Linked DNA regions of Drosophila melanogaster. Changing the gene in region 2 together with the main gene of any one other region gives a genetic interaction. Each region holds a gene or a part of one and is shown on either strand. Other genes may lie near its edges.

What was found.
Region 1: of ATP7 (region 2) and Grx1, changing one enhances a phenotype caused by changing the other (phenotypic enhancement), as found in Drosophila melanogaster (one study listed by BioGRID).
Region 3: of ATP7 (region 2) and Cog1, changing one suppresses a phenotype caused by changing the other (phenotypic suppression), as found in Drosophila melanogaster (one study listed by BioGRID).

The regions. Positions count from the first base shown.
Region 1 is NT_037436.4:18,866,057-18,870,557, forward strand, and holds Grx1 (glutaredoxin 1), read left to right. Parts: upstream 1-3,173; 5' UTR 3,174-3,274; intron 3,275-3,281; exon of another isoform or gene 3,282-3,370; 5' UTR 3,371-3,446; coding exon 3,447-3,590; intron 3,591-3,650; coding exon 3,651-3,755; intron 3,756-3,820; coding exon 3,821-3,916; 3' UTR 3,917-4,001; downstream 4,002-4,501. Other genes in the region: CG14074 (uncharacterized protein), read left to right, coding at 283-1,293; Dysb (dysbindin), read left to right, coding at 1,824-2,589, 2,648-2,748; Blos3 (biogenesis of lysosome-related organelles complex 1, subunit 3), read left to right, coding at 4,252-4,314, 4,372-4,501.
Region 2 is NC_004354.4:11,852,849-11,858,830, forward strand, and holds the start of ATP7 (ATP7), read left to right. Parts: upstream 1-2,173; 5' UTR 2,174-2,503; coding exon 2,504-3,473; intron 3,474-5,982. Other genes in the region: CG10347 (uncharacterized protein), read right to left, coding at 9-493, 553-1,810.
Region 3 is NT_033777.3:12,212,709-12,221,685, reverse strand, and holds Cog1 (component of oligomeric golgi complex 1), read left to right. Parts: upstream 1-1,999; 5' UTR 2,000-2,081; coding exon 2,082-2,215; intron 2,216-2,271; coding exon 2,272-2,954; intron 2,955-3,022; coding exon 3,023-4,080; intron 4,081-4,139; coding exon 4,140-4,805; intron 4,806-4,999; coding exon of another isoform or gene 5,000-5,023; exon of another isoform or gene 5,024-5,053; intron 5,054-5,732; coding exon 5,733-5,852; 3' UTR 5,853-6,103; coding exon of another isoform or gene 6,104-6,259; 3' UTR 6,260-6,806; coding exon of another isoform or gene 6,807-6,875; 3' UTR 6,876-7,894; downstream 7,895-8,977. Other genes in the region: CG4860 (uncharacterized protein), read left to right, coding at 236-269, 331-570, 701-1,674; CG14742 (uncharacterized protein), read right to left, coding at 6,104-6,259, 6,807-6,875. UniProt on the Drosophila melanogaster protein: Required for normal Golgi function.

The DNA.
Region 1 (4,501 bases), on a different chromosome or scaffold from region 2:
GTTTTGATTTCCACCGTTCCGTCATCGCCGCGAACTCATCGACGCTAATTTAACGCACATACAATAATCGCTTTATACTTAGTATTTTAAAAATACTTATAAGTAGCACTTACCGTCCGCGGTATTTTTTGTTTCGCAGCAATTGGTATTCAATTAAATGCCATAAACAAACACAAAAAATGGAAATGGACGCAGACCTAACAAAGTAAATATTTATATTACAATCCGATATATTTTTAATTAATTTGATGCTCTCACGTTAGTCAGGCGATTGCCGAGCTAATGCGCGAGATCGAAGGTGCAAATGCCAGTGTCAGCACCTCGAAACAAAGCGAACGCAAAGTGAATCCTCTGGGCAAACTAAACAAACGCTTCTTAGGCCGCACCATAAACACCGCGATTCGGCATAATGATAGAGAAAAGGAGCGCACACAGGCAAATTGCCGACAGAAGCTGCAGGATCTGGATGATGTGCACGAAAGGAGGAAGTCCAACTACTTTTACAGCCGCGATGCACCCAGAACTCAAAGTGTTGATAGAAGCAGAAGTTCCAGCAGAAGGCGCAGCAGGAGCCGCCACAAAAAGGCCAAGAAGCATCGCAGCCGAAGAAGAACTAGGAGCAGCAGAAGTTCAAGCCGCAGTCGAAGTCGCAGCAGTTCACATCGGCGAAAAAAGCGCAAAAAGAAGGTTAAAAAACACAAAAAATCACACAGAAGACGAAGAAGCAGCCAGAGCAGCAGCGGTTGCGATTGGGAATCCGCACCCAGCGAGTCGTTACGTATACCCCCGCCTTCAGATGTGTTCCTAAACCACTCCAAGCAAATGGCTCTTGCAGTGGCCATGGCCTATGGTCAATTACTAAACCCGAGCAGCCAAAAGAAAGCCAGCGAGTCTAAGGAACACTCCTCCTCTCCTATAAGCGATATATTCCGGGAACTTATGTCCGACGAAGAGGTGGACAAATCCGAGAAGCCCGAGGCCCTGTCCATTTCATCCAGCGACGAAGAGCCAAATGTTCTCACCATTAAAGTAAGCTCGAGCTCCGAGTCCAGCGGCAATAAATCAAGCTCGGACTCAGATTCAGAAGCAAAGAACAGCGTACGCAGCTGTATAACCCTAGAATCTGGTGATAATAGTGATATTGAGATAATTGAGTACCATGAAGAGCCCAAAAAAAAGGCATGTGAAACTGAACCTGCGTCTGAACCTGAATATCCGTCTCAATCGGATAGCACAAATCAACAAGTGGACGATAGCACAGCTGTCACTACAGTGGACCTGACCGAGGATTAATTAGGCTAAACTTTAGTTAGAGAATCGTTATGTAAGATCAGAATGAAATTTTAAAGGAAACAAACTGAAGTTGAACCAAACTAAGAATATTGTTTTTATATTATTATTACAGATATAAGCTCTGCCATAGATAGATTCATATTTGGTTGGTTTTTTTTTAAGTTATGTTTAATAGTAATATACTAAATATACCACCGAATGATACCCTGTTGTGTCTGTTTATAATATCAACTTTGGGTTCATTTTTTTATTTAAATTATAAAATAAAAATGCAAAATTTGAAATGTTAATAATACTTATTAGTTTTAGTAAGTAATAAAAACCACGTGCCAGAGCTCTTGCCATAGTTGATATGCCTCTCGTGTACGGCAACAAACTGTTGCTCTCTCTCTCTCTCTATGACCGATTTTCTCTCAGCACCTGCCCGAACAGCTGATTCTTTATTTACCACTCAATTTTCGATGGAAAACGCCAGCGCGAAGACAATTAGAAATCGCTAAGTTAAATAAATAGAGATCCGTTGTCGCAAGATGTTCGGGAACCTGAAAAAGAAGCTTAGCAGTGCGATCCAGGAGGGCCTGGTGATCTCGGAGAATCTGCAACAGCAATATCGCCAGCGTGTCAGTTCCGGAAACTCGGGGAGTAGCCAAGCCAGTGGGATTACGACCCCCATTTCGCCACTGGGCCTTAACGAAAGTCTGTCGTCCAGCAGGAGCAGTAGCCTCTCCCTTAGTGCTCCCTTCCAGCTAACCGATGGAGTGCCCAGTCACCTAAATGTGGCAGCTGGTTGCAGTTTGCTTGCCAAATACGAGGATGATTGGCAGCAGATTCATGGCGCCAACGAAAAGAACGCGGAGAAGGCTGCGCAGATTGCTAACCAAATCTCCGGCATCCAAGACCAGGCCAGCCATCAGCACAGGATCATGAGTGAGCTGAACAGTAGTCTGGCGGGAATTCCCACGTTGATAGCCCAACTGCAAAACAGCTCACAGGTTCTTAATTCCCTGGAGGAAATGGGTAAGCAGTTGGAGATTGAGCTCGAGAAGCTGGAGGATCTGCGCGAGGAGTGTGAGCTCCAAGAGTTCATCCTTGAGCAGCAGTTTCAGCTCTCCCGGCACAAGCAAAAGAAACTGAACGAACTGGAGCAGTATCGCCAGCAAATAGCCCAGAAACACCAATCCAAAATCAAGGATCAGGAGCAGACCCTCCTGAAGCTGCAGAGGGAACGACAGGCTGTCTTCGACGACGCCTTCCGGGAGGATATGGAGGAGTACAAACAGCGCGGCCAGCTGACAAGTTAGTCTGATAACATAAACAAATATGATGCACTAAGTTAACGCCCCTTTTTTTTTAGAAATTCAAACCACCAGCAACAAGTTGGCTCTGGAGGAAGTCGTCCTTGAAGCCAACGAAGTGGAGACAAAGGATGCTCTGGAACAATTTCTAAATGGCTAACTCACATTGTTTGCTCATCTCGCAAAAGACTACAATTTGTGCCTTTAAGTGCAATAAGCAGTGTAATTGTTAAAATATTTTAACGGGGACTTCTGAAAAATAACTTAATTTTTTCACAACATTTTCTTACTGCATTTGAACGTTAAACTATTACATTAAAGGGAATTGGACATACAAAGATTAATTATCAATGCCAAATTATTTTAACATACAAGGCATTTTAACATAATTTGTTAAAGTAATTTCAAAATTGCTTTACTATCTCGGACAAAATATAGGCAAATTTAATATAAGTTTCAAATAATGAAGTCAAAGTAAAAGTGAATTTTCAGGAATCCCCCTAGTGTATATGAAATTTGTTGATGTGGCACCGTCACTGCATGTTTTGACAGCGCTGAATAAACATTGTTTTTATAACAGTCGATTTTCTCTTTTCTTAATAGACACACAATAATAGATTCCTTAAACTTAGCATGATTATATGGAAATTAAATTAAATATTAAACATGTTTATGATTACGAGATGGTAATTTCACAACGTGGCAGCTCTGGCGAGAGCAACAACAGCTGATTGCTAATCAATGATTAAAAAACTGATTAAATTAGAGATAATTCTCCGCAGCTTACACTTGTCGCAGCTTTCATTGCTCCCCGCATTGCCCCCCAAGTTTCCGTACCCCCTCCTGGATTTCGAGCTTATGGGTGCAGTTGGATCCGCTTTGAGATCCCCAATAGTCGACATGTCCACCAAGCAGGCGAAATTCGTTGAAAACACCATTGCCAGCAACAAAGTGGTGATATTCAGCAAGACCTACTGTCCCTACTGCACGATGGCCAAAGAGGTGAGAAAGTTGCGAGACCTTGAAAAGTCCCAAACAGTGATAAACATCTTTGCGTTCCAGCCCTTCAAAAAGCTCAATGTGGACGCCACCATAATAGAACTCGATGGAAATCCCGATGGCAACGAAATTCAGGCAGTTCTGGGCGAGATTACCGGTGCCAGAACGGTGGGTGCACTAAATATTTTACATTATAAAGATTAATTATCATTTGTAACCTGTGTACTGTGTAGGTTCCCCGCGTCTTTATCGATGGCAAATTCATTGGCGGTGGCACTGACATCAAACGAATGTTCGAGACAGGAGCTCTGCAAAAATATTTCCAATAAATAGTGTTCTTACTCTGTTCAGAACTCCGTTTTATGTAAAAAGTTTGTTAATCTTCAAAGTCCTTAATAAATGCTTTTAAAATTTATGTTTTGCGCTTATTGAGATTACATCGTCTTCTGAGTAATGGGCAAAGTGTTACTAATACCATTCATTATCCGTTAATAATTTTTATGATTGTAGTTCTACGGATCTGTTAGCATAGATATCACAAACATAAGAATATCCCCTTCAACTGCGCCCATGTGAGCAACAGTTTGCAGTTTTAACTGATCTGGCAGCGCCGTAACTGCAGTAAATAAAAAATTGTTTACAATAGTATTTAATAAACTGAATGATGGCTGATTTGGTGAGCGGTGAAGCTTCTGAATCCGACGAGGAGCTGCAGGAGAAGAATAAGGTTGTTGAGGATATCATTTATAAATAACAGTCCAATAATAAAACCATTTTGTGACAGATTTTTGCTGCTGAAATTTCGGGCGAAGCCTCCGAAGAGGATGATGAAGACATTTACGAGCAAGGCCGAAGCAGCAACCAGGTCAACAGCACGGCTTCCATTTACCGGAATAATCTGCTTCAGCGGAAAC
Region 2 (5,982 bases):
AACACCGTCTACACCTGCAGGTGTATCAGTTCTTTCTTGGAGAGAACGGTGATCAGATTGTTTGCCGTGGTTATGCCCAGAATCTCGTCAATCTCGTTGCCCAAGGTGATGAGCTTTTGTTTACCCAAGGTGACGGGAGGTCCGTTTCGCCTGCGGAGACCATCAGCCGAATTATTAGCCGGAAAGTAGACGAGAACGTAGCGTACAGGGTCACATATGGCTACGTAATCCAGATCCGGACTGCAGACGGTGAATTTCCGCACAACCTTGGAGGCCTGCACGTAGCCGAAGGCGTGCAGCTGGCCCTCGTGGCGGACACTCCATTCATCTGGACGACTGGGCTGGTACATCTGTAGCCATATGGAGGCGTCGACGCCCTGGCGGGTAGCAAAGGCGGCTGGAAAGCCAGGACGCAGCGTGGTGGTGAGCACCAGTGGCGGGGGACCAAGAAAAATAGTGTGGGTGATGCACCCGCTGGTCAAATTGAAGCGTACTAAAAGAAGAAAATGTATTTATTAAGCATATGCAGCAGATGTATAATAGAATGCTTACCCATCTTCATTTCTTCATCAGCGGATATTAAGTCACATTCTTCAACGGGATCCTGCAGACTTGGAATGGGCAGTGGTGGAGCTTCCATTGGATGTACTTCCTCCGCTACGTCATCTTTCTTCTGCGCGAACAAACGTGGCCAGTTCTGAATCTCCGCCTTGGTTAGTGACAATTCTAGGCCATTCTCAGCCAACTTAAATGCACTTAAATCATCTCCCACACTGGCGTATAACTCTTCGTCGAATATAACCTCATCCAGATGCTTTACAACGACAGTGGTTTTAGAACCGCTCACGTTAAACTCTTTAGCGGATGCAGTTGAAGGAACATTGAAACGAATGAGCACATTATTATCCGTTTGGGACCAGCTATAACTAGGTGGACCTCCATTTTCCAGCTGGCCATCGTGATCACCTGAGGAATTCAAGCGGGCAGCGGCTGCTTCATCGGCTGCCCGACGCTCCTCGGGAGTCTGAACATCGCGGTTGCTGGCAATGACTAGGGACTCGGCGCGAGGCTCAAAGGCGCAGTAGTGCACAGAGCCAGTGGTCTCCAGCCGTTGACAGATATTATATGACCACTCGTCATTGGTGGGCGAATGAGTCCACCGTGCCCAGGTCAAGTCCATGTAATAGACGTGCGTCTGATCTTGGCCAACTGCATCACGGCGTGCCACATGACCGGCCACCAGCGAGATCTGCTTACGTTCCTGCAGCACATCCAGCCGGGCATCGAAGAGTGCAAAGCCGCGATGACCACTGTTATTATTCACCGGCGAGCGTGTAATCCGTTGCCACTCCTGCACATCGGTGCGCGTTCTGTCGCCGGTGTCCACCAGATGGTAACTGGTTATACCGTCGCAGATCACACAGAATCGTTCCGAAACGAAAACTATGGTGTAGTTGTAGTCACCCGACCGATGTAGTTCCCCATCGCCCTGATCCCTATAGTCCACCGTGAGGACAACGCGCTGGGCACGTGCGCGTCCAGTCTGTAGATCGTAGTTGCACTGCACCAGCTGGTGGCGCTTGTTAAAGAAGTAGCTGCAGTGGCGCATCCATGGATCGGCTACCAGGTGATTGTGTCGGGCAAAGAGCTCCGTGTGCAGCAGCGAGAACTGATTGCTGCTCGGATCCAGCACGTAGGCATCACATCCAAGTTCCTGGCGAAGAACAGGCACCGAATCGAATGCCAATTTGTAGCCAGAAAAGTCCGAGCACACCAGGTTGCGATCCACTTTCAGTTCCACCACCGGCATCTTGCTTTACTGCGCCAATGCTGAGTTGGATTATATTGGAGATTTCGAAAAAATAGAGATAGATATTCCAAAACAAATCAAATCAAATCGGTAGTAGACCGGATAGAGATGGCAGATGACCGTTCGGCCGTGACTCGTATCGACTTTTTATCGACAAGTGGGGGATATGTACGATACCTTGGCAATTTTCAAATCTAATAAGATTCCTTTTTTTAGTTTGAAATTTAACTAAACAATTAAATAGCTAAAAAGAAAACATTAGTTAGTCACATATTTTTTTATCGAATCGAAAGTTTAAGCAATGTATCGATATAGCCCACATCGGTATCTAGCTCATCTCGATAGCGCCTGCCTATCGACGGACGGCCATCGGTAGTTGCGTGCCGTGGGAAAAACATAACGGGAGCGGAGCAGCTGTTGCCTGCTAATTGAAAAATTAGACACAAGAACGCAAAATTGTGAGTTTCGTGTGGAGTTTGGCCAAGTGAAAAGCGTTGGCGGGAGGCGACTACTCCACCACAACAAATCCAGTAGTAGCTGCAATACGACTCACCCGACTCCACAAAGTTAGTTTAGTGACACAATTCGGTACGTGCGATAGGGCGAGGGGCAACTCAAAAGTTCAAAATCTCAAGTATATCAAGTAATTCCGCATCGTCGTGTTCCGCCCACCCAAAATAATGCACATTGAGGATGCCAAGTGACGAGAGAGTAGAAGCGACGATGTCCACGGTGCGCCTGCCCATTGTGGGCATGACTTGCCAGTCGTGTGTGCGCAATATCACAGAGCACATTGGCCAGAAATCGGGAATCCTTGGCGTGCGCGTCATTCTCGAGGAGAATGCGGGCTATTTCGACTACGATCCCCGACAGACGGATCCCGCCCGGATAGCCAGCGATATCGACGACATGGGCTTCGAGTGCAGCTATCCAGGGGATGCAGCAGATCCTCCCGAAACTCCCGCCAGCGCATGGACCAACATACGGGTGGTGGGCATGACCTGCCAGTCGTGCGTGCGCAACATCGAAGGCAATATCGGCACCAAGCCGGGCATCCATTCCATTGAGGTGCAACTGGCGGCCAAGAATGCCCGCGTTCAGTACGATCCCGCCCAGTATGATCCCGCCCAGATAGCCGAGCTCATCGATGACATGGGTTTTGAGGCTAGTGTGCAGGAACCTCGATCGCCATCCCAATCGCCGTCGCCCGCCCCCGCCTCATCACCCAAAAAGAGGGCAACTCCTACTCCTCCACCTCCTTCATATGCTCAAAATGGTTCGGCAGTGGCCATACCCGTCGAACAGGAGCTACTGACCAAATGCTTTCTGCACATCCGAGGCATGACGTGCGCCAGCTGTGTGGCCGCCATCGAGAAGCACTGCAAGAAGATCTACGGCCTGGACAGCATCCTGGTAGCCCTGCTGGCCGCCAAGGCGGAGGTCAAGTTCAATGCCAATGTTGTGACGGCCGAGAATATAGCGAAATCAATCACGGAGCTGGGCTTCCCCACCGAACTCATCGATGAGCCGGACAACGGCGAGGCGGAGGTGGAGTTGGAGATTATGGGCATGACTTGCGCCTCCTGCGTCAACAAGATCGAGAGTCATGTGCTTAAAATAAGGGGCGTGACCACCGCCTCCGTCACACTGCTAACAAAGAGGGGTGAGTGTTTTTTGTGTACTTAAGCTAAGTGGCTTTCTGGAACTAGTTTATCCCGAGAGAATTTCAAATCACGTTCTGGGTCATGCATTCGAATCGAATTGCGAGTCTGGAAGCATTCCACAAGTGGCAGTGCCAATTGTTATGCAATATTTATAATAATAAACACCTGGAATGGGGCCATCAACCGATATGCACCTGTTGCGCTTTATTCTTGCCCAACGAGCACAGGTGTTAAATTCGATCATATATCTTGTATATCTTAAGGGATCGAATAATGCAATGGGAGTAATGAGCTGTAACAGAAGCAAACTATTGGCAATCGTTAATTGATGCAACTTGTGGCAATAACAAATATTAAATAAGCCATTCAAGGGAATTTCGTAGAATGCCCTTATTTGTTTTGCATTTCGCAGAAAGCGACAGCTGTTCCTTTTTATTAACCTACTAGCATCGAGTTCGAGTAGAATCGGTGCAAATGTTTTTTTTTTTTTTATTGTTCGCTTTTCACAATTTCCACAATTGAAAACTGGCCCAGCAATTGTTTATTGCAACTGATATACTCGATTTACTTTATGCTTTTTTTTCTGGGGAGGGTGGCAGGTTCGTTGATAAGAAAGTGCGAGGAGCACTATACTCATATGCATGTATGTATGTATGTACTTTATAAACCATACACTACTAACTATGCTTTCAGCAAACAATGCCAGTGGCAACTAGATTAAATAGCTGGAATTCACCACGCTCGTGTGCGTGGGCAGTAAAGCTATCTGGAACACTTGGATGAGGGGAATTCAATGGCAAGCCGAGAGTCGGGATATTTAAAATATTCAAGATATTCGCTAAAAAACACATAATATAATTATTGTTTTGTTGGGCGCTGGCAGCTCGAGTTTTATTTGCCAGATTATAGCGTGTTTTTTGCGAGTGTTCAGGAAGAACTTATATATACATATTTATGTATGCGATTAGCTGACAAAGAACAAATGAAATGATTTGAGCTCTTTGTTTTCATAAACTTTATACTGCCAATCGCATTTACCAATTAGCATTTAAGCCATGAAACTGAAAGTCCGCCTGGCCAAAGAAAAATCAAAACAAAAGTGAAAGAGCTCCAATACGCCTTGAAATACAAGTACATACATATAATGTATGTACATATATATGTATGAATGTATAATAATTTATATACCCGCGATTGGCGGGCAAACGAGCGAGGAACTAATCTCGCTTTTGTCTGGAAAAAAAGAGGGAAACCTCTCTCTTTTTCAGCTTTGCAGTCTTTCTGCTCCGCATGCGTGGCCACGAACTCCACTTCCACTTCGTACACAGCGAGAAATGGGGCTAACTATGATATAAGTATTATATAGAAGAGTGCTATCTACTTCGGCATATGATCAGCATATAAAATCTACTAATATTTAAAAGCACGAATCGTACAATGTTTAGCAAGTTTCTTTTATTTTATGTTAAGCACGCACTTTTTCTTCGAGTGCATTTCTAGTTTCATTCACCTTCACTTTGATTTAGAGCTGTTTTTACTTTACTTTTGCTTTGCCAGCTCAAAAATGTTGATTTGAAATTAGTGAACTAGTGGCGAATTATGCAATAACTTGGCTTTGATCCACCACATTCACATTGAATTCTGGCTGATTTACGAATATCGGTTTGCATACCCGTATTTATGTATGTACTAGATGTACGTGCGCCGTTTTGAGAAGCTCAATTGCAAATTCAAAAATGAAAATGCATAAATGGGGAGCCTCGTAATTATGATTGCAATGGAACTGGTTTTCGATTTTTTCGCATTCGACATGGAGACATGCGCACGGTGGAGAAAAGCGAGCGAAACTGTTGCGATTAAATGACACTGAAAATAATTTCAGACATTCAAAAGTGGTATGAAAACAGCGAGCCCACATGAATATCAATCGCTGGCAGCTGTATGATGGTATATAAAGTACAATATCGCTTGTTTTTTTAAAGTTTATTTGTTTATTTTGAATTTACATATATACTTATTAAGATACTTAATTGTATTGTAATCATTTTCGAAAAACAATTACGTACCAGTCATGCTTCTGAAAGAGTTCATAGATGTTTTGGGCCAGCGAAGTTGGACTTCTGCCATATGGATTGGTCCAATTCCGTGCGGCTTCTTATCTTTCAATCAATTAGCACTTAAACTTCATTTAACTAGCTTAACTTGTTGTTTGCCAATTGTTACTTGGCTTGTTTGCAGTTTGTTTGCCGCAAGTCGGTAGTCGAAATTGGGAATGTAAACTGTTGAGCAAAACATATGTTTTCCTCCGATTCTTATCGTCCGGCGATAAGTGAACGACAGAGAACGAACCACAGGCAATCTCAATTCAAATTGAAAATGTTCTAAAATTGTAACAACGAATCGCGGGCGATAAGATGCAATGGGCGGGCAAATAAAAGAAAGAAAGAACAAAAAAACTGAATCGAGAGCCCTAGAAAATGTATATTTCGACGACTGCAGTGGAACTTG
Region 3 (8,977 bases), on a different chromosome or scaffold from region 2:
TAATTCTTATACTCAATTAAAATCAATTTAAAAGAACCATTTTACAAAATCGATTAGTAGTTTTTAATAAACGGGACCCCCTTTCAATCTCCTCCCATGAACTTCGCCTCAAAAAGCTGCGTATAAAAGCTGTTTTCCTCGGTTGTATTTCGATCGGCTCGTCGACGAGTGCGAAAAAGCTTTCACTACCTCGATCGCAACCGGCACCACGGGCTTGGGATCAGTTGGCGACGGAATGCAGCAGCTGATCAGAGTGGCGCGGACGTTGGGTGAGGAACTGGGTGATTCCCGGCTGACTGGATGATCGATTTGCCGCCTCCGTCTTTGCAGGTCAACGCTCGAGCGGCGCATGGAGTGCGAGGATAATCGCTGGTGGAAACCGGGGAATCGCATGCCTGGCCGCCCTCTCCGAGACCCACCAGATTCTCCAGAAGACTTGCCGGGAGTTCGCCAATGCGGAACTGGCCCCCAAAGCGCGACACCACGACCGGGAGGAGCTTTATCCGGCGGAACAGGTCCGACGGTTGGGAGAACTCGGTCTCATGTCAGTGACGGTTCGAGAGGAGTATGGTGAGTTCCTATTTCAATTATAATATTTACAATATTTACATAACATAAAATATGTGATGTTTTCATTTTTGAAATGGTATATAAATAGATCATACTACTAGATTCCATTCATTAAATATTGATTTTTCAGGTGGTTCCGGATTGGATTACCAGGCCTACGCGATTGGCATGGAGGAGGTGGCTCGTGGTGACGCCGCCGTGTCCATTGTGATGGGCGTGAATAACCTGTACCTGGGTGCAGTGCAGCAGCATGGAACCGAGCAGCAGAAGCAGGATTTCCTGGTGCCGTACACCCAGGGTGAGCACATCGCCTTCTATGCACTATCGGAACCTGGAAACGGATCGGATGCAGGAGCTGCCAGCACCACGGCCAAGCTGCAAGGGGACAGCTACCAAATAAACGGCACTAAAGCGTGGATATCAAACTCCAAGGAGGCCAGCGGGGGTATCGTCTTTGCCACGGTGGACAAGAGCATGAAACACAAGGGAATCACTGCCTTTCTTACGCCCAAGGATGTTCCAGGACTCTCCATAGCCAAGAAGGAAAGCAAAATGGGCATGCGCGCGACTTCGACTTGCCAGCTGGTGCTGGAGGACGTTCACGTGCCGCGATCCCGGGTCCTTGGAGCTGCCGGTGATGGCTTCAAGATCGCCATGCAGTCCTTGGACTGTGGCAGGATCGGTATAGCCGCCCAGGCCACCGGTATCGCACAAGCTGCCCTGGAACTAGCCGTGGATTATTCGCAGAAGAGGGTGGCCTTCGGAAAGCATCTGGCACGGTTGCAGCTCATCCAGCAGAAGCTGGCCGACATGGCCACGCGGGTGGAGATCTCAAGGCTGCTAACGTGGCGTGCCGCTTGGCTGAAGGATAATGGGCTGCCAATCACAAAGGAGGCGGCCATGGCCAAGCTGCATGCCTCCGAGTCCGCCACCTTTTGTGCCCACCAGTGCATCCAGATCCTGGGTGGGATGGGGTACACCACCGATCTGCCTGCGGAGCTTTACTACCGCAACGCCCGCGTCACAGAGATTTACGAGGGAACCTCGGAGATCCAAAGAATTGTGATCGCCAACGCAGTGCTGCGGGAATTGGGAAAGGAGTGAAAGCCATTGTTGGTTTTTCTTTATTACTGCTGCCAAACCAATCAGAATTCTTGCTTTTACACTTGTTGTGTATGTAAATTAGTTTATCTATGCCAGACAAATGCATTTAATAAAGTATATTTAAACAAATGAAACCTGGATTTAGAAAAATATCTTTTTTCGATTAAATGAGGTAATTCCCCTAACTATAACTCTTTATGTTATATTGAAATGTAACGGCTTGCACATGACAGCATATCTAACATTTTTACCAACAGAGAAATGTAAACTAACATAAATTTAACAGTCATAGACAGTCATGAGAGAAAATATCGATGTTGCCAGTCATCGATACATAATTCGATTTTATTACAGCTGCTCCCTTGTTATTGTTTTCTTAATTTAAATAAAACTAATTTGACGGCTAAATGACGGCCAATTTGTTAAACCTGAACGTGGACACGCTGTTTGAGCAGCACAGCGTGTCCGAGATAGACGAGGTGCACAAAAAGATCCAGTCGGTGGTGGAGAACAAGCGCGAGGAGTTGCGCACTCATGTCGGGTGAGTGATGTGGCACCTTCAGAAGATTTGCTGCTTAAACATTCTAAATCTTTAAGGGAGCGGTACCGAGATCTTTTGCAGGCGGCTGACACCATTGCTGCGATGCAAACGTCGGCCGGGACACTTATGGAGCAAGTGCGACACGTGCAGGCCAATTGCCGCAGTCTAAACGAGCAGCAGCTCCTGGGCTTCCAGTCAACTGCCAATGCAAGTGCTAAAGATGCCGCACTGAAGGAGAGGAACGCCGGAAAAAAGCTGCAGACCTACTACGGCACCATGGCTCAGATTAAGTTGCTTACTGCCCTGCCGGAACTAATCTGGACGCACTTGGACAACGATCGCTTCTATGCCGCTACTGAGTTGTTCATCTTCAGTCGCCACATCAGCACGGGCTTGCAACTGGACGGCCAGAGTGCCCTGATGCAGAAACTACCGGTAGCGCGCAAGCAATGGGAAATCCTGCGTCCCTTTCACGTGACCATCAAACAAGCCATACTGACCGCACTGGAGAGGGAGGAACTCCTACAAGAAATGACTGTGGACTGCCTGCAGAGCCTTCTCTTGCTAGACAAAAGCGATTTGAGTACTGTGCTGAAATCCTTCTTGAACCTGCGCTCCTCAGCCTTTCTGAACTGCCTGCAAAGCGGTCCATCGGAGCCACGTCGCGTCAAGGATCGCATTTTGGCTAGCTTAAACGTGCTCAACAGCACCGTGGAGCTTCTGGACAAGTGTCTTTTGGGTATGTTTCCATTCGCAGATAGGCACACAACATTATTATTGGAACAATCGGTCTTTTCTCTCGTACAGGTTATAGCCTTCTTTTTAGCCGCTTGGAGGAGTGTGCCTCTTCTACGTGTCCACCCAGCATCAACCGAATGGAGAGTAGCGAGCGCCAGCTGGTTCATCTTTTACCCGAAATCATCGCTGGTTTTAAGCCACAATTTGATGTACCTCAGCTAACACCTGAGCAGTTGGGTTCTTCACTTCAACAATGGCTAGATAAAATGAACGCCTTGGCAGCGGCTCACTTGCAGCAAGTCTTTGCACTAGTCACCAACATGCAGACCATCCAGGACATTAAGTCCGCGGCCAGAACTAATGGTCGACCGGATTTCGTTCGCCTAGAACAGCAATTGCATCTTAAGCGTAGCCAGTTAGACTTCTACGCCAGAAAGTACGTGCCGTTGATCAACGCCAGAGTACGAGAGATAATTCGCAGCAGCTGGGCTTCCGCCATGAAGCTGACCTACGAACAGGTACTATTGCTTATTGAAGCCGGTCAGTCGCAACCGCCTCTACAAATTTGGCGGGAGCAGAGCGATGATTTGCCTTTAAGCTTGGCGGCAGCACTCAGCGATCAACCAAAGCGACTGGCAAATCGGACGAAGGGCTATGACGGCGCAACAATAGAACTGTGTAAACGTTTTGACTCACATCTGGCGGATATCGTACAGGAGCTGAATGTGATGTTACAAGAACAAACGACGAGGGCTGAGGACAAGGTTTCACTTATCGAGTTTCTGCGCGAAACGGCCGAGGAACAGCTGACAGAGTATTTATCCAATTTGAAAGGTTTAGAGCTAAGGGAACGCCCTGCTCTGCTCCTGGCTTTGAGGAATAGTCTCGCCTTGGTCGAGCTGTGCCCCAATTTAAAGTTGTGCTTCTGCCAGCCGTCCAGTTGGCGGCAGTGGACTGACAACTCGGCGGGATTGGGAATTGAGCATTGGCAGCGCATTTGTGGCCTGATCGAAAAGGAGATGCTATCCTTTTGGCTGGTCATCGTTGACGATGTGTTGGCCGGCCACAATTGCGAAGAGAAACTGCCAAAGGTCATTAATCATGAAGTGGTTCTCAGCGACTTTGCGGTAATTATATGGAAAGAAGAAATTTATTTGTAACGTAACATAATTATATTCTTGAGTAGCTTTGGCAGACCTTGACACTGGAACAGCGCGACGAGGACCAGGAGCAGAGTGTTCAGTCAACCATTCGAATCCCCAGTCAGCCGCGACTCTCTCTGCAGACGTATCTTCATCAGCTAATTCAGGCATTGAATTCGGTTGTTCCCCAAACTCTGCCACCCAAGGTATTGCAAGCATTCATTCAGCGGCTCATAGGGAAACTGCTCTGCCACTACGAGGGATTGGCCCACGCGGAATGCACCAAAGCCAGTCAGAATATTGCCCTGCAACTATACTTTGATCTTAAGTTCCTGGAGCGCGTGTTCGCCATTTCACGTGAGGAGAGGACTCTCTACGACCAAATCCACGCCCAGCAGAACCAACTGCGCGACTACATAGATCCCTTTGACTTCGAGCTGTTTGCCGAGCATATAACCGCTCATGTGTCCCGAGCTGCAAGCCGTCTGCAGGGTGAACTGGGAGTGCTTACTCCCTCGGCAGCTGCTCCCAGTCAGGGTGCAGCTGCTGCCAGTTCTTTGGCCCATGAAGCAGATCCCAATGTGCTGTGTCTCAGTTCTTCCGGATCCACGTCGCTGTGGTTCCCGCTGCTGCCCATTGTGATGCCCCAAGCTGCCGGAAGAGTTACTAGCGCAGAGCGGAAATCTCCGATCCAAGAGCCAGTTGAGAAAGTGAGTATAAAGTGTGATGATATAGAGGGCTGTCGGTGTTGGCTTCAAGAGTATAAGCTTTACTATTTGGTGGTGTATTTAAAATTCTAAATTGATTAGCTGAAGCATTAAACCGACAGCCCTAATAGATATAAAGTTTATCTTTTACCAACTTTATCAAGTTATAATGCTACGTTCCCATGTTTCTTTCCTAGGATTTCTATCGACTGCATTCCTAAGTCAATAGTTTCAACATTTGCTCTGGTTGGGTAGGAATGTTATTTGATTGTTGATACTTTGTTATCATTCCTCGTTTGCATGCTGCATGATATTGATTGTTTAGCCAATACTTATTAAGAGTGAGCAAAATAGCCGCATTGCTCTTATTAAGTGCTTCATTTCCAAATTTGAAAACCTCTTCAAGCTGAAGCAGCAGTTTAATTAAACTAATTTGGTCCATCCAGCAATAAATAAACCAGAATGCCGCAAGACAAATTTTAATTAGGTGCAACTTTCTGCCGCCATTTCCCAACCACTCCTCCCTACTTCGTCCGCAAGTGGTTGGCAAAAGTTTCGCTTGAAACCCAACCCGAAATTTCCAAGTGGATGGCCAGAACATCGGCAGAATGATTATGTATATATTACGGGCGCGTATACGAGTGCCTTAGATGGTAATTAATGAATCGCTGCAATTATTGAAATCAAATCGCTGGGCAAATGTTAATTTATGGCAGTGGCTACTTGGCCGTTACTCGCATGTTTTGTAATTAGCTGCGATCTCCGCCGGTATAAATCGTTCTCTAATTATGTTTGCTTTCCATTTGTTGCTGTTCGCTGCTCGCTATAAATCTGAGAGTCCAGCGGCAAATTAACAGATTAATCAGACAAACTACCAATTAATAGTACTAATTAATTAATAACATCTCCCATTTTATCCCTCTATCTCAGACGGCGACAACGACGCCGACGAGGAAGTCGGGTGGCAATGGAGCCCGCAAGGGAGACAGCAGCAAATCCAAATCGAGCGCAGCTTCCTTCTTTGGGATGTCCCAGGAGTGGTTTCGCTAGAGGATTCAAATCAAGTGGCCTGTGAAGTGCATTCGAGCGGAATGCGGATGGGATGCTCTTCTATTGTTAAGCTTAACCTACATAAATATATCCGAACGTACTTGTAGTAGAAGAGGCGGGCAGCGCCCAGTAAATTGTAAGAAAGTCACATACATTATAGAGATACTCGTATATACACCCTGATATCACTTTTAATTTCAACTTAACTCTAAATTTGTAATTTTTAATGCGCTTTGATGTTGCCACGGTTGCTATTTCTTGCCTCCCTTCTTGCCACCGCCTGCGGCTGCCTTTTGGTCTTGTCCTTTCTTGGCTCCACCTTTGTCACCGCCGCCTCCATCGCCGCCTTTGTTTTTATTTCCGGAGCCACCTCCGCCGCCGCCTCCGCCACCACCGCCGCCCTTTTTCTGTGGGCAAAGAAACACGGAAAGATTTCGCTTTGAGCTGGGACCGAGCAAATAACGAGCCACGGTTGTTTAAGGTTGCCCAGCGAAGTCAGTAAATGAGAAAAAGGTTAGTTGTGCCAGGATTGCAATGGGGGGACCCTTGTTCCAAAGCACCAGGAGTTCTCTAATTACATACAGCAGCAGCTATTATCCGCATGATAAAATGTAATCTAACCATTATTTGTGGTCTACAATAACGTATTAATACAGGTAGCACGAAACACCTTCCTAAAAAACTGTATGCAAGGCTTAATCTCAAAGTTAATAGTTCTAGTGCACTAAAGTTTTTTTTTTTAATTTGGCAATGCTTTTATAAATTTATGTTTAGAAAGTTGGTCAACGAATTATTTTAAAATTGTTGGAAAGTAGGGATAAAGTTAAATATTGTTAAATTGCTACTTGGAAGTTTGGTGGGACCATGAGCTGAATGAGCTGGCACTAAGATGAGGATTACAAGTAGTTAGACTCACAATTAGAACGCAAGTTGCATAACACAAATATTGCTTACATTGCCCCCGCCTCCACCACCGCCACCTCCTCCTCCACCGCCGCCGCCACCACCCTTATTTTTGCCCATTCTATCAACTTCTTGGGAAGGCAATTATTTTATTTATTTGGTTTAGTTTGCGGTGCTTGCTGTTGGCTTTGGCTAGAGTAAACTTATGCCAGAGCTGGCAAATTGCAACTAATAAGCATCGCCATTGCCGCACAGCGAAATACATGAAATTAAATCATTTGGCCAGAAAAAGAAGGCCAAAATGAACGTTGAGAGCAAAACACAAAATGCGCAACAGCCAAAGGCGGAAGGGAAAGGCGCCAATGAATTTGGGCGGCAATGGGAGAGGGGAATGGGTTGATTGCGATGACCAGGGGGATTTGGCTCCGGGTAGAGGAGACCTGGCTGCAATGGCCAATGGCTCTTAACTGATTTAATCACCGCCCGGGCACCTCTCTTTGCGGCCGGAAGAAATGGGAAGTGTTTCTCTTGCGGCGACCGTTGGATTATTTTGTAGTGCTTCTCCTCCATCGCTTTTTGGCTCTTTGCTTCCGATTGCGATTTCGATTCTGTTTCTGTTTCGGTTTCGCATTTGCATTTGGCCATATGCGCCCATGGCCATGGCATTGACATTGGCCACCTCTCGCATTTCTGGTCTGCGGCCAATGGAAGGCAATACGTCGGTAATCCCACGGCTCACTCGCGAATCCCACGGATACGGACAGTGCAACAAGATGCTATTTATAGATGCAACGCGAATTGATGGTGGTGATAGCCTAGGCCAAGAGAGATTTTGGCGGATTTCAATCGGAAAGAAATGGCCCAGAAGGCGATTGAAAGCGCTAATGTATGCAGAAAGGGAAGAACAGGAAGATTGAATGAGGGAGATAAACCAAGGAACGGTAGAATTGATTATGGGTCTAGGGAAGTAATTTAATTGGAGACTATGGGCAACCTAAAAAAAAGTTAATCAGCACAGATATGCCATTTAATCTCCATCGCACTTTCTTATGTATAATATCTGATTTTTATTATTTGCATAGACTTGTTTAAAGTTGTAATATAAGTATATTGAACATATTTAATAAAGCTTACCGAATAAACTATGCATATGAATAACTTATCCGACTGTTCCTATGGCCGGTATATACATATATCATATATCTGGTTTTGATTATATAATAATCATATATTTATAATTATCTTTCAATAGACCAAAATGTAAGCATTACATTACAAATTTGGTTACTTTTATCATTGATAAATCATTTTATTAAATTAAATAGCATTTGTGTTTATCAAATTACATTGGATAACTTTAAAACGAAAAACTTACCATGCTGATTTAACTTTACTGCTTTAATTACTACGCCAGTTCAGCAGGCGGATTCCTAATTGGACTGGAATACATTTAACAGCTTTCCACCTGCCTGAGTTCCAAAGAAAACTATCCGAGTCTGATTTTCTTCATATGCTAATTACAGTTATCAAAAAGTTTTTCTGTCGCTGCCAACGGACACTGGAAACTCAATGCATACATAATGAGACATTCTACTTTTCCTGCAGCTTTTCCTTCGGCTCTCCCACTTTTCCCCCCACAACAGATGTTGGAAAATGGAGAGCGAGCAAGAGAATAAGTCGGAACACCCGTTGGTGTCAGCTAATTAAATTAGATGTTCTATATGGTGAGCCGTAAGTGAAACCGATATCATGCAATGAAAATGAAAGCACCACGACAAGGAGAACTCAACAAGTCGAAATCTGCACATGGCAACTAGCGCGGAGCCAAATTAGAAGTGAAAAGTATGAAATAAGCTCATAAAATTACGCTCACACATGCTCGGGAAAACGCATTTGCAGCAAAGGAGCTGGAAAAGGGGGAGGGAGACCCGTATCCGCAGGCGAGGCTAACAAAGTCGCAGGTCCGGACATTTGCTGCAGGTGCGGCAGGCGAAACTTGCACCTGAAAGATAAACCACCTTACCTGGCGAGCTGGACAGACACTTTGAATTTAAACGAAATGGGCGGACTTTCTGGGAATGGCTAAATACATACGGAAAAGCGAGAGAGACAGTCGGGATAAGTAAGGAATTGGCTCTGTAGAAGTGCGGAACTTTAATTAAGTTTTGGTTCTCCCAGCTGACTGACATCTTGAATTACAAATGAAAAACTTGTGTGCGGCA